Linked DNA regions of Macaca mulatta. The protein of the gene in region 1 interacts with the protein of each later gene in a pairwise test. Links are inferred from orthologs where the notes say so. Each region holds a gene or a part of one and is shown in the gene's direction. Other genes may lie near its edges.

Region 1 (6,181 bases):
ACCATGTCAGCCATGCTGGTCTCGAACTCCTGACCTCAGGTGATCCACCTGCCTCAGCCTCCCAAAGTGTTGGGATTACAGGCGTGAGCCACTGCGCTCCGCGTTCCTATCTTATTAAAGTCATGGCCTGGTCAGGCGTGGGCAACAGAGAGAGAGACTGTCTCAGAAAACAAAAACAAAAACAAAAACAAAAAACCCAGGCGTGGTGGCTCATGCCTGTAATTCCAGCACTTTGGAGAGGCCGAGGCGGGCCACAAAGTCAGGAGATTGAAACCATCCTGGCTAACATGGTGAAACCCCGTCTCTACTAAAAATACAAAAAAATTAGCCGGGTGTGACAGTGTACGCCTGTAGTCCCAGCTACTCAGGAGGCTGAGGCAGGAGAATGGCGTGAACTCGGGAGGCGGAGCTTGCGGTGAGACAAGATCGCGCCACTGCACTCCAGCCTGGGCAACAGAGCGAGACTCCGTCTAAAAAAAAAAAAAAAAAAGCCACGGCTTGATCTGCACAAGTGCCACCCCGATCCCCCACCTACCTGCTGTCCCCTCCTCTGTACCACACCAGGCACACTCCCACCTCTGGGCCTTAGCATCTGCTGTGCCTCCCAGCTGGTGCGCTTTTCCCCATATAACCACAAGTCTCCCTCCCTCACCTTTAAGTCTCAAATCAAATGTCACCTCCTCAGGGAGGCCCTCACTGCCTTTCTGTTTCAACGGCTAGGCTCATCGGGTCAGTCGCCTCTACCATTCTAAAAAGATTTAACTATTGGCGGGGCGCTGGAGCTCACGCCTGTAATCCCAACAGTTTTGTAGGCCAAGGCAGAAGGATCCGTTGAGCCCAGGAATTCGGGACCAGCCTGGGCAACATAGCAAGAACCCCAAAATAAAAAAAAGAAGTGTATTTAAAAGCAAAACACAAACAACAAACAAACAAAAAACACTAGCCTGGGCAACATGGTGAAAACCCGTCTCTACTAAAAATACAAATTAGCCAGTAGTCCCTGTAGTCCCAGCTACTCGGGAGGCTGAGGCGGGAGGATCACTTGAGCCGGGGAAGTCGAGGCTGCAGTGAGCTGTGATCGCACCACTGCATTCCGGCCTGGGTGACGGGAGTGAGACCCTGACTCAAAAATAAATACATAAATAAATAAAAATTAACTATCGTCTCTGGCCCCAGACCATAGGTGTCCCTGCAGCAGGGGCCTCCTGGCGTGCTCTCCACTCGGGAACCTCTAGGAGGTACTAAGTAAATCTTTGAGCGAAGACCTGAGTCCCTGTCTGGCTGCGACTATGTCCTCCCAGGCCTTCCCACGTGGCAGTTGCAGGCTCCTTTCCTCTTGGCTCAGTCTGAGCCAGTCAGGGTGATCCCTTCCTCATCCACCCCGTCTCCCCGTTTCCCTTTATTACGGTGCTTGACACTATCTAATATTATTTAGTTGCTTGAATGTGCGCGTCCAGCTCCCAGGACGCCCCCTGCACACAGTGAATGAATGAATGAATGAAATAAAGCGCCCAGCGCGTAGTAAGGGCCAATGAATATCTATTAGTAGTGGGACCTCGGATTGGGTGGCCCCAGCCCTGCCTCCCTTCCCCCAGGAGGCGCCGAGGTCCCAGAGCAGCCCGCGCTACCCTGCCCCTGACCTTTCTCCCTGGGTCAGTTAAAGCGGCCGTCTTTCCCGCCTGCCGGGTTCATTTGAAAACCGAAAACCCCGCCATTGCCGGCGGTCCATCGGTTGCTGAGCTCTGACCAATCAGGAACAACGCATTTCACGCCGAGCTCGAAATTTCCCCGGCGACGCGCAGCCATTGGTTATGCAGGCCCTGCGGGAGGAACGCCGTAAGGTCGCGCGCCGGGCAACGCGGATTCGCTACACAGTAGCGAGTTTGTAAGAAAACAAATCCGCGGCGTTCGGGGCGTGGCCGGGAGCACGTTGGCTCCGCCCCCTGGCTGCTGCCTCGGCGGCGGCGGCGGCGCAGGCTCAGAGCAGACCCCGCCCGGCAAGGAGGAGGGAGGGTGAGTTAGGGGGAGACCCGGCCCCCAAGGGGCGGGCGCCGGGCAGGGCCCCGCCGGCGGCCGAGGGTTGGGCCCAGCTCCCAGCCCCTCGCCTGCCTCCGGCTGACAGGGGGAGGAGCCCGCTGGGAGGGCCGGGGTCTTGGGCTGGGGAGCCGGGCCGGGAGTGCAGAGCAGCCGGGCGCACCGCGGCCGCGTCCCGGGAGGGCTGCTCGGGCCAGCGCCCGCCGGTTGCTCCGTGCTGACAGCGCCGGGTTGGGGCGGGGCGGGGGTCTTCGCAGGCCGTCAGTGTCGACATGCTGCTGGAGGAGGTCCGCTCCGGCGACCGGCTGAGTGGGGCCGCGGCCCGGGGCGACGTGCAGGAGGTGCGCCGCCTTCTGCACCGCGAGCTGGTGCATCCCGACGCCCTCAACCGCTTCGGCAAGACGGCGCTGCAGGTGAGGCCGGGCCGGCCCAGGTCGGGGGCGGGGTGGCTCGGCGGGGTGAGGATCGAGACCCCAGAGCCCCTCTCCTCTGGTCTCCTGGCCCTGGTGGTGACCCACTGGAAACCGGTCCTTCTTCTCTAGGCTTTCATTGTTCCCCCACGGTCCCCTTTCGAAGGTGGGTGGTGGGTGAGGCTAGGTTGTGGGGGGAGGGGAGAGCTTTTTAGCATCTTCTCTGGGAGGATTCCTGGTTCTCTGAGTGCGGAAGATTCACTTTCCCTGGGGAGGTTCTTATTCCGTGGGTGCGGGTTCAGCTCCTTTGGATACCGTTTCCATGGGGACGGCTCACGTTTCTTGGGGCTTCTATGGGGAGATCCGATCTCTGGAAGGAGAGGTCCTGTCTCCAGGGGTTCCTCATTTTGTAGGGGGCTCTCTGAGACATATCTGGTTACTTGGGGGTGGGGTCTTCATTCCTAAAGATTATGCGGATCCTAGCTATAGTGTGGGGGCCCCAGTGGAGGAACAGTGTCAGATCGCAAGACATCCTTATATTCCCTGGGAGAGTTTAGAGAGGAGTCTCTTTTCTCTTCTTTTATTATTGCTTTTGGAATCCCGCTTCCTGAAGGGAGCTCTCAGGTACTCTGAGGTGACATCACCATTATACAGGAGGAGGCTAATTCCTGGAGAAGGGGGTGGGGTTCGCTTTCCTTTGACATCTCTTTTCCCTTATGAGGACTATCAATTCTTTGGGGGTAGTTCTCCATCTCTGGGGGCCCATTTCCTGGAGGGGATTTTATATTTCCTGGTGATTGCCCATATCTGGGGGCGTCTTTGGTCCCTTGCGGGAGAGTCTTAGGTTCCTTGAAAGTTTCCATGGGGGCTGTTCTCTGGGTTGGGGGGTCTCATTCTTAAGGGAGTGACCAGCTTTTGGGGGGGGTCCCTATTCCCAGGAGAACTTTTTCTCTGCATCTCAAACAGTCCCCTGGGGGCTTATGCAGCTTCTCCGTTCACTAGAGGATCCCTCCTCTGGCATTTCCTGTTCCGGGGAGATGCCTCTTTCTGGATGACCCTTCTCTCTCCAGTAACCCCTTTTTTTTTAATTAATTAATTAATTTATTTATTTTTTTTGAGACAGAGTCTCGCTTAGTCGCCCAGGCTGGAGTGCAATGGCGCGATCTCGGCTCACTGCAAACTCCGCCTCCCGGGTTCACGCCATTCTCCTGCCTCAGCCTCCCGAGTAGCTGGGACTACAGGCGCCCGCCGCCTCGCCCGGCTAATTTTTTGCATTTTTAGTAGAGACGGGGTTTCACCGTGTTAGCCAGGATGGTCTCGATCTCCTGACCTCGTGATCCGCCCGCCTCGGCCTCCCAAAGTGCTGGGATTACAGGCGTGAGCCACCGCGCCCGGCCAGTAACCCCTTTTTTGGAAACCCCTCCCTTGAGGACCTCCTGATCCTCTGTCCCTCACACAGGTCATGATGTTTGGCAGCACCGCCATCGCCCTGGAGTTGCTGAAGCAAGGTGCCAGCCCCAATGTCCAGGACACCTCCGGCACCAGTCCAGTCCATGACGCAGCCCGCACTGGATTCCTGGACACCCTGAAGGTCCTAGTGGAGCACGGGGCTGATGTCAACGCGCCTGATGGCACCGGGGCACTTCCTATCCATCTGGCGGTGCAAGAGGGTCACACTGCTGTGGTCAGCTTTCTGGCGGCTGAATCTGATCTCCATCGCAGGGACGCCAGGGGTCTCACACCCCTGGAACTGGCACTGCAGAGAGGGGCTCAGGACCTCGTGGACATCCTGCAGGGGCACATGGTGGCCCCGCTGTGATCTGGGGTCACTCTATCCAGGAAGAGAACCCCGTGGGGTTATGTATCAGAAGAGAGGGGAAGAAACACTTTCTCTTCTTGTTTCTCCTGCCTGCTGCCGCAGTAGGGGAGGAGCACCAGTTTGTGGCTTATAGGTGTTGGTTTTTGGGGTGTGTGGGTATTTGGGGGACGTTTCTCATTTGTTTTTCTCACTCCTTTTGGTGTGTTGGACAGAGAAGGGCTCCTGCAGGCCACAGCCACCTAAACGGTTCAGTTTTTTCTGCGCCCCAGGCTGTTGGGGCCTCAGACAAGACCCAAGGGCAGAGCGTTTAAGAGTGAAATCACCTCCAGGGAGCGTAGAACCTGGTGACCTTGGCTGGCTGTGCTCAGAGACCTGAAGTGTGCACGTTGCTTCGGGCACAGGGGGTGGGGGGAGAGTCCCAAATCAGTAAGAAGGTAGAATGAGTTATTCATATTCTGTTGGAAGCTTGTTTTCCAGTCTCTTGTACAGCGTTTTAAAAGAAATGGATTCTATTTATTATGCTTTATTGGAAAAAAATGTTGTAATAATTTAATGTTTTTACCCATTAAATTAAGACTTGTGCATGATCACAGCGCGGGTGGCTTCAGATTTTTGAGTCTGGGATGGAGAGTTACACATCCCGGATGTTGATGGGGATGAGGACGGGGGTCGGGGATCGTGGATGCGGTGGGTGAGGGGAGAGAATAGTAATTCCCAGGGCGCCAGGGTGAGTGAGCTGGGTGGGGCAGCGGTTTTCGCTGTCGGAACGGAAGGGAAGCAGGAAACCGCGAGTGGAGAAAGGGCCCCCAGATGTCAGCTGGGTGCCCGGAGCACCGGGGGTGGGGCGGGTGGGCGGTGGCCGCGGCCTTCCCCGCAGGGGCGTAGCGGTGGGCGGTGACTGCGGTCATGAGGCGAAGGGGATCCCGGAAAAGCCAGGGGCGGGGTTAGGTGCGGTCCGCCTCTTTTGAAATTGGATGCGGGCGGGACCGAGGGCGGCCCCGCCCCGTCCAGGGCGTCCTCAATGCGCGTGCGCAATGGGCCACAGAGCCGCCATGCCGGAACCGCGCGGGTCGTCGCAGCTGCGGGTGAACACGGCGTTTGCCGCGCGGTACAACCGCTACCGGGAGCGCGAGGAACTGCAGCGGCGTGAGTCCGGGGCGCATGCGCGCGGGAGCCTGCTTGCGATGGGCGGTTGGGAAGTGGGGAGTCGAGCTGGTCCAGCCGGCTGACCTGGGGGGCATCCCGTCTGTGTCCCGCAGTGAAGGATCGCTACGGGGACCGGGACAGCGGCAGCGACTCCAGCTCTGAGTCGGACTCCAGCGACGAGCGCGTGGTGCGCGTCCGCGCCCCGTCCTGGACGTGCGGAGGCGTCCAAGCCCCCCCACTGCACTCCGACCCCGATGTAGACAGGGGGGCAACCCCCGACCCCAGAGCGCCCTGCGGGAGCGTCCATCCCCCGTTCCCCATCCCATGAGGGACAGACAGCGCCCTCCCTCTCCCTAGGAGAGCCAAATCCCCCTTATTTTCTCCCCCCTGCTAACATCCACCTGCCCACTCTGATGTGTGGGGCGACTCTGTCCCCTAGGAACCCCCCTTTCCCCTTTCATCCTCGAGTCTAGCCATTTTTTAGTGTACTCCTTGCGCCACGTGGGGTGCCCAACTTCTCACATCAGCCCTGATCTTGGCCCCACTGTACGGCCTGGCCCAGCCCCTCCCCACTGTCTCCCTTGTGCCCTCGGCCCACCTGCCCCTTGTCAAGTCCTTGTCTTCCCCAGGAATTACCTTCTCCTTGCCCCCATCTTTCTCTACCCATATCCTGTATCTACCTGTGGCCTGCCCCTGCCCACCCCAAGAGGTCCCCTCTCTCTCCTGCTGTTTGACCGCTTTCCTCTCTTCCCCAGCCAGATCCCCGCTCCCT
Region 2 (6,181 bases), on another chromosome or scaffold:
AATGTTTGGCTTCCTTGGCGCTCACTTGAAGAACTCCAGGACACTTTTCAGTTCCCTGGGACGGCATTTTCAAATTGTCCCAGGCTCAACCCAACCTAAACTGAATGTTTTTTATGGCAATGAGGGAGGGGGAAGCGTGCAGAGTGAATGCATCTACTTAGACGGGAGTGTGTGTATGGAGGCTGGTGGTTATAACCAACCTGAAAGTTCTCCCGGCCCCCGTTTTCCTAGGACTATATTAAAAAATAATAACTGCCACCCCGGCGTGCCTGTGCTTGAGTTTCCGACTGCCTGAAAATAGCGGCCGGGAGCCTGGCCCACCGCGGGGATCAAGGAAAGCTCCCCGTGGCCGCGCCCTGCTCTCTCGCGGAAGGGGAAGGGAACCCGGGAGGGCGCCTCTGAGCTGGTGTTGCTGCTATTTTGGGCCCAGCCTGGCCGGTGCGTCAATGCCTGCGCCCCTGCGTCACCGCCACCCCCACCCCCTTCCTTCTCCCCGGCTCTCCAAACTCTCACTTTTTCCCTTTCGTTCGCATGGAATCGCTTCTGCCCACGGGGCGCTGACGCTACCGAGCTCATGCTAATATGCTATTCTTCGCCCTCCCCTCCTCATCCCCCTACTCACACACCCTTACCCGCCACCACAACCCGCCCCCCCACCCACTTCCTGGTTTTATTTTTTTCTTGCGCCTGCTAGGGCACCGCCGAGCAGCGGCGGCGGCGGCAGCAGTAGCGGCAGCCGCAACATCTGGGGGAAACTTAAGGTGGTCACGTAGGTTTCCCGGAGGCTGCGGCGCAGAAGAGCCCGCGGCTTCCTGGGGCAGCCGCAGGACATCTGTTGGCAACGCCTCCCCAGCCACCGGCGAGCTGGGGGCAGCAGGGAGTAGGCAAAGGCGGGGCTGCAGATTAGGGCTGAGCAGCCCGGGATCCCGAATAGTTCCACGGCGCCATCGGCCGGTACTGAGAACACGAGTAGGGGGGCAAGTTGCAAAAGGGTCCCGTCGGCCTGGAAGCGAGCCACGCCGAGAAAGGAGGGGCGGCTGGGACGCTCTGCGCGAGTAGAAAAGCGGGGGCGGCTCCGAACTCTCCCTCTCAAGGCCCAGCCTCTTCCAGCCCCGCGGGAGAAGCCCTAGGAAGCCCGCCCAGCTCCGGCCGGGAGACTGGGGGAGGGAGCTTGCCCTCCGGAGCCGCGGCGTTGTCTTTGCTAGAAAGCTCCCTGCGCCCGCGGCCTGGCGAGGGGAAATGAATTGCAAAGCAGAATCGGCGGCGACTCGGATGGCTGCGGGGGTGGGACACGCTCCTGGCTGGGTTGTAGGCTCACACCTTACGCTTTGCGGAGACGCTGTCTCCAATCCCCACCCGCTTCGCTTTTCTTGTCCAGTCTTTCTGGGTTCTAAGATTGAGGCTGTGATAGACCTTGTGTTTCAAACGAAGGTCGATTTATTTCTCTAAAACTCGTGGAAGGGGTACAAGTTGGTGGGCACCGAGGAGTATCGAAAGTATTAGAGTTTGCAGAAGGTGGGAATCAGAGTACCTTTCTGCAGAAGGCGCACCTGTTGCCTGCTGCTCGGCTGCATTGTCTGCGAAAGGAAAAGGCGCGACGCTTCACTCTGACTTTTGGGGTTTCTAAAGAGCTGGGTCACGGTCACTGTCTACCCTCTCCCCTTCCTCTCCTTCCCCCCAACCCCACGCACCACGTCCTCCATCGAACGTGGGCACTGCGTGGAAATAAGGAAACACAGAAAAATAAGCCCTACCCCCACTCCCATTCCCTTTCAGATGGGAGTGTGGGAGTAGGGGGAAGAGGGAGAGAGAGAGAGAATGAGAATGAATATATGCCAGAAGAGGAGGCGGCCTAGGACAGGAAAAGGGAGTAAAAGGGGATGAACCGGGTAGGGAAATCCCACCCGAACTGCGTGAGCCCTCTGAGCGTCTCGTGTCATGGGACATCTGTACGCTCTTCCGCTAAGGGGGTGACGAAGGTGGGTGGGAGAGGTTAGGGCGCTGCAAGGCACATCCCATTCCGTGCAGCTCCAGGTGCGTGCTACCTGGCCCACGCCGGCCTTCCCTTCCGCCTGGGCTTTTGTTGCACCCTCCCCACATGTGAGCGGCCGAGCAGCTGCGAGGGCGCGGGGGCCTGGGGGAAAATGAAGTGTCGCGGCACTGCGGGCTGCGCAGACCTGGGAGAGGTCACACCTCTTTCGGAAAAAAAAAAAAAGAAAGAAAGAAAAGAAAACACCAAAAACCACCCAAGCTGGCTACCAAGGTGAACGCAGAGCGGTTCCCACCTTAAAATCTGCCCTGCTCGTGACGTCAGGTCGGAAATATACCAAAGCGAGCGCGGGCCAGGAGTCCAGGGAGCGCGGCGGCGCGGCGATTGGGCGGCGGGCCGCTGACGCGCGCTGACGCGCGGAGACTTTAGGTGCATGTTGGCAGCGGCAGCGCGAGCCACATAAACAAAGGCACATTGGCGGCCAGGGCCAGTCCGCCCGGCGGCTCGCGTACAGCTCCGCGGTCCCTTTTGCCTGTCCAGCCGGCCGCCTGTCCCTACTCCCTCCCTGCGTGAGGTGTCCGGGCTCCCTTCGCCCAGCTCGCCCACCCCTCCCCGACCCCGGCGCCCAGCCTCCCAGAGGGAACTGCACTTCGGCAGAGTTGAATGAATGAAGAGAGACGCGGAGAACTCCTAAGTGAGTAGATGCAGCCCTTGCAGTTCGCCTTCTTTTATGCTTCTTCCTTCTTTTGCACGTCTCTTCTTTCCACTTGTGTGGGATAGGTTCTTTGGAAGTGGGAGCCAGAGGCTTCTAGTGAGAGTGGGACCGAAGGATGGGGAGTGCGTGCGCGTAGTTACCGGGGGGCATTTGTTCGAACTCCGGCTTTGGCACTAGTGGGGAGTTGGCTCCCGACAGAGGCTTCCAGGCTCCTCATTGGTGGACGTGGAAGGGAGACTCCACAGTTTGGGAGCTGAGGACTAGCCCGCGGAAATGTGAGCAAAGTTTGCTGTTAGTGAGGAATTGATTGTGGCCTGTGAAGACGGAGACTCCAAGTTCTGTGTATACGAAGGAAGCTGCCCACAAACTGACAGGGAGAGAAAGTTCTTCAGTTTATGCGTTGCTTGGGAACTGTGTCTCCGCGGCTGGCCAGCGCGCGATGTTTCCCGGGTATTGTTGAGTAAGGGTGGTGTTGGTAGAGTGTCCTGTTACTAAGTTGTCTGAAATTTCTGGTTTTGACATATGCTGTCCTTGGGTTTGCGAATGTGTCGAGAGAGAGAGAGACAGAGAGAGAGAGAGAGAGAGAGAATATGAATATGTAAAGAGTACAGTTATGAAACTGTGGAGCTACCAGGGAGTTAATATCCAACACAGGAATATCTCTAAGGGCTGTGGAAGTCGAGTCTCCTTTCTGCTTTTTCTGGGTAATCACCCCCCGCCCCCACCCCCACCACCACTATGAAGCAAGATTGTGGGGGAGGGGAAATAATAGAGAGGATACTGGCTTTCTTTTTCATTAGTAATAAGATTGTCTGTGCGCTAGAATGCCTTCTAAGTGGGAACATCTGAAAATTACTAGGACACAAGAATGCCTTGTTCCAGAAAGGCAGATCGTGGAAGGCATTATGGGGAAGGTGTTCGTCTTGCTGTTCTGGGAAACACTTCTAATATTGGTGCCAATACCATATAAGCAGTATGTCCCCTCTCTGCAATTGACCTAAGATACTCCTGGAAAAGTAGGGTCCCCTCTTCCCACCTTGTGGCCATTAAAGATGCTGAAAGACAAGTTTTCTGGAAAAGTGAACATCAATTTGTCTGCAGCTCCAATCCCAGTGCTCTGTCAAGAGCACTTTAGAAATGCGGATGCTTCCACTCAAATTGCCTTCTCAGTCAAGGTCTTTCTAACATTTTATAAGGGGAAAGATTGTTTTCTCATTTTATATTCTTGACTTCTACTTTCTTCCCCTCTACCAAAAGAAAAGGCAATTTCACCACATGAAAAAAAAAAATGCAAGAGAAGGTTCCAATGCTGTATTTTCAGACTCTAGTCTTCATACTCAGGTCCTGAATTAACCTAAGATGGAAATGACCTCTCCACCTACACTGTAGCAAAGGGGCCAGTTCATTACATCATAAATGTTAAATGAGTTCATGGACTAACTTTCCTCTTGCAGGATCCTCTCTCTGCAAGGATTTACACAGTGCAATGGGTAGTATTTTCTGTTGTTTCAAGTCATTTCTTTTATACATTCATTTTAAGTGCTGTGTTTGGTAAAGGCTTCCCACTCACTTCCAATGAGATGAACAGGGAAGGCATGGAAGGGCCTGCCTGGTGAGTCTACATATGCCCAGTTGAATCTCTGTCAGGAAGATACCCTGAAGCTTCCTGTGTCTGTATTTCAGGGAGGAGATTGGACAGGCTGGACTCCCCATTGCTTTTCTAAAAATCTTGGAAACTTTGTCCTTCATTGAATTACGACACTGTCCACCTTTAATTTCCTCGAAAACGCCTGTAACTCGGCTGAAGGTTAGTGCAACTTCATTTATTTCCTTTACTCTCCGGAGTTCCCCAAACATCAAGAAACAGGACAAGGCGATCTTCTTGGCAAACCCTGTAACTTAAGATTTGCCCGACCCATCGCCTTGGGGAGCAACTTTCTCATTGTGAAATTCAACTTCATTTCTAGATGGTCATTTCTAGAAAGAGACTGCTGAATCTGAGCTTCAGAGAAGAGGCTCATCTGAGTGGGATTGACTGTAAAAAGGTGTGGGGGGTGGTATGGAGGAGATGTTTGGAAATACCTAGGAATGTGGACCCTCAGTAGCTTTTTAGCTCTGGGTCTTTATTTGGTCAGTCTTTCCACACCCTACACTGTTGTTCGGCAGCATTCTCCCTCTCCTGCCCTTCCTCTCGCGCCCCTACACGCTCTCTGACTGCCGCGGGCTGCCGGTGTAGCTCCAGGTGTACCCGAGCCCGGGAGGAAGTGTTCAGTTGACCAGGCTGAGTGTGTATCACCCTGTTTCATTTCCAGCCATGCCTTGTGTTCAGGCGCAGTATGGGTCCTCGCCTCAAGGAGCCAGCCCCGCTTCTCAGAGCTACAGTTACCACTCTTCGGGAGAATACAGCTCCGATTTCTTAACTCCAGAGTTTGTCAAGTTTAGCATGGACCTCACCAACACTGAAATCACTGCCACCACTTCTCTCCCCAGCTTCAGTACCTTTATGGACAACTACAGCACAGGCTACGACGTCAAGCCACCTTGCTTGTACCAAATGCCCCTGTCCGGACAGCAGTCCTCCATTAAGGTAGAAGACATTCAGATGCACAACTACCAGCAACACAGCCACCTGCCCCCCCAGTCTGAGGAGATGATGCCGCACTCCGGTTCGGTTTACTACAAGCCCTCCTCGCCCCCGACGCCCACCACCCCGGGCTTCCAGGTGCAGCACAGCCCCATGTGGGACGACCCGGGGTCTCTCCACAACTTCCACCAGAACTACGTGGCCACTACGCACATGATCGAGCAGAGGAAAACTCCAGTTTCCCGCCTCTCCCTCTTCTCCTTTAAGCAATCGCCCCCTGGCACCCCGGTGTCTAGTTGCCAGATGCGCTTCGACGGGCCCCTGCACGTCCCCATGAACCCGGAGCCCGCCAGCAGCCACCACGTGGTGGACGGGCAGACCTTTGCTGTACCCAACCCCATTCGCAAGCCCGCGTCCATGGGCTTCCCGGGCCTGCAGATCGGCCACGCGTCGCAGCTGCTTGACACGCAGGTGCCCTCGCCGCCGTCGCGGGGCTCCCCCTCCAACGAGGGGCTGTGCGCTGTGTGTGGGGACAACGCGGCCTGCCAACACTACGGCGTGCGCACCTGTGAGGGCTGCAAAGGCTTCTTTAAGGTGAGCAGTGGCTTGAGCGGAGTAGGCAGGTAGGGAGCCCCTAGTGCCCGGGACCCTGGAGTGTGCCTCCTGGGACTGCCCGGCTCTCCGGGGTCCACCGAAGCTACCCTGCAGGAGTCCACGGGCTGCGGCGGGGACTTCCGGGTGTCTGAGAAAGGGAAGCAGAAAGACTGGGAGGCCAGGGTCGCATCCCCCTCGCACTCAGCCGACCGGGCTGGCCCCCGCCCGAAGTTGCTGGAGCCGGAGTTGGAAGAGGGTCATTTGCATGTGCTAGGAGCTGTCTTCCCTGTTCAGAATG

Evidence for each region.
Region 2: the proteins of CDKN2D (region 1) and NR4A2 interact in binary tests that used the Homo sapiens proteins (3 or more experiments, as listed by UniProt). The two-hybrid records come from large-scale screens. The link is inferred for Macaca mulatta from reciprocal best matches to the Homo sapiens genes CDKN2D and NR4A2.

The regions. Positions count from the first base shown.
Region 1 is NC_133424.1:11,286,880-11,293,060, reverse strand, and holds CDKN2D (cyclin-dependent kinase 4 inhibitor D), read left to right. Parts: upstream 1-2,157; 5' UTR 2,158-2,306; coding exon 2,307-2,447; intron 2,448-3,903; coding exon 3,904-4,263; 3' UTR 4,264-4,800; downstream 4,801-6,181. Other genes in the region: protein KRI1 homolog, read left to right, coding at 5,298-5,409, 5,523-5,596. UniProt on the Homo sapiens protein: Interacts strongly with CDK4 and CDK6 and inhibits them.
Region 2 is NC_133417.1:61,213,522-61,219,702, reverse strand, and holds the start of NR4A2 (nuclear receptor subfamily 4 group A member 2), read left to right. Parts: upstream 1-2,595; 5' UTR 2,596-2,684; intron 2,685-4,388; 5' UTR 4,389-4,512; intron 4,513-5,017; 5' UTR 5,018-5,019; coding exon 5,020-5,883; intron 5,884-6,181. UniProt on the Homo sapiens protein: Transcriptional regulator which is important for the differentiation and maintenance of meso-diencephalic dopaminergic (mdDA) neurons during development.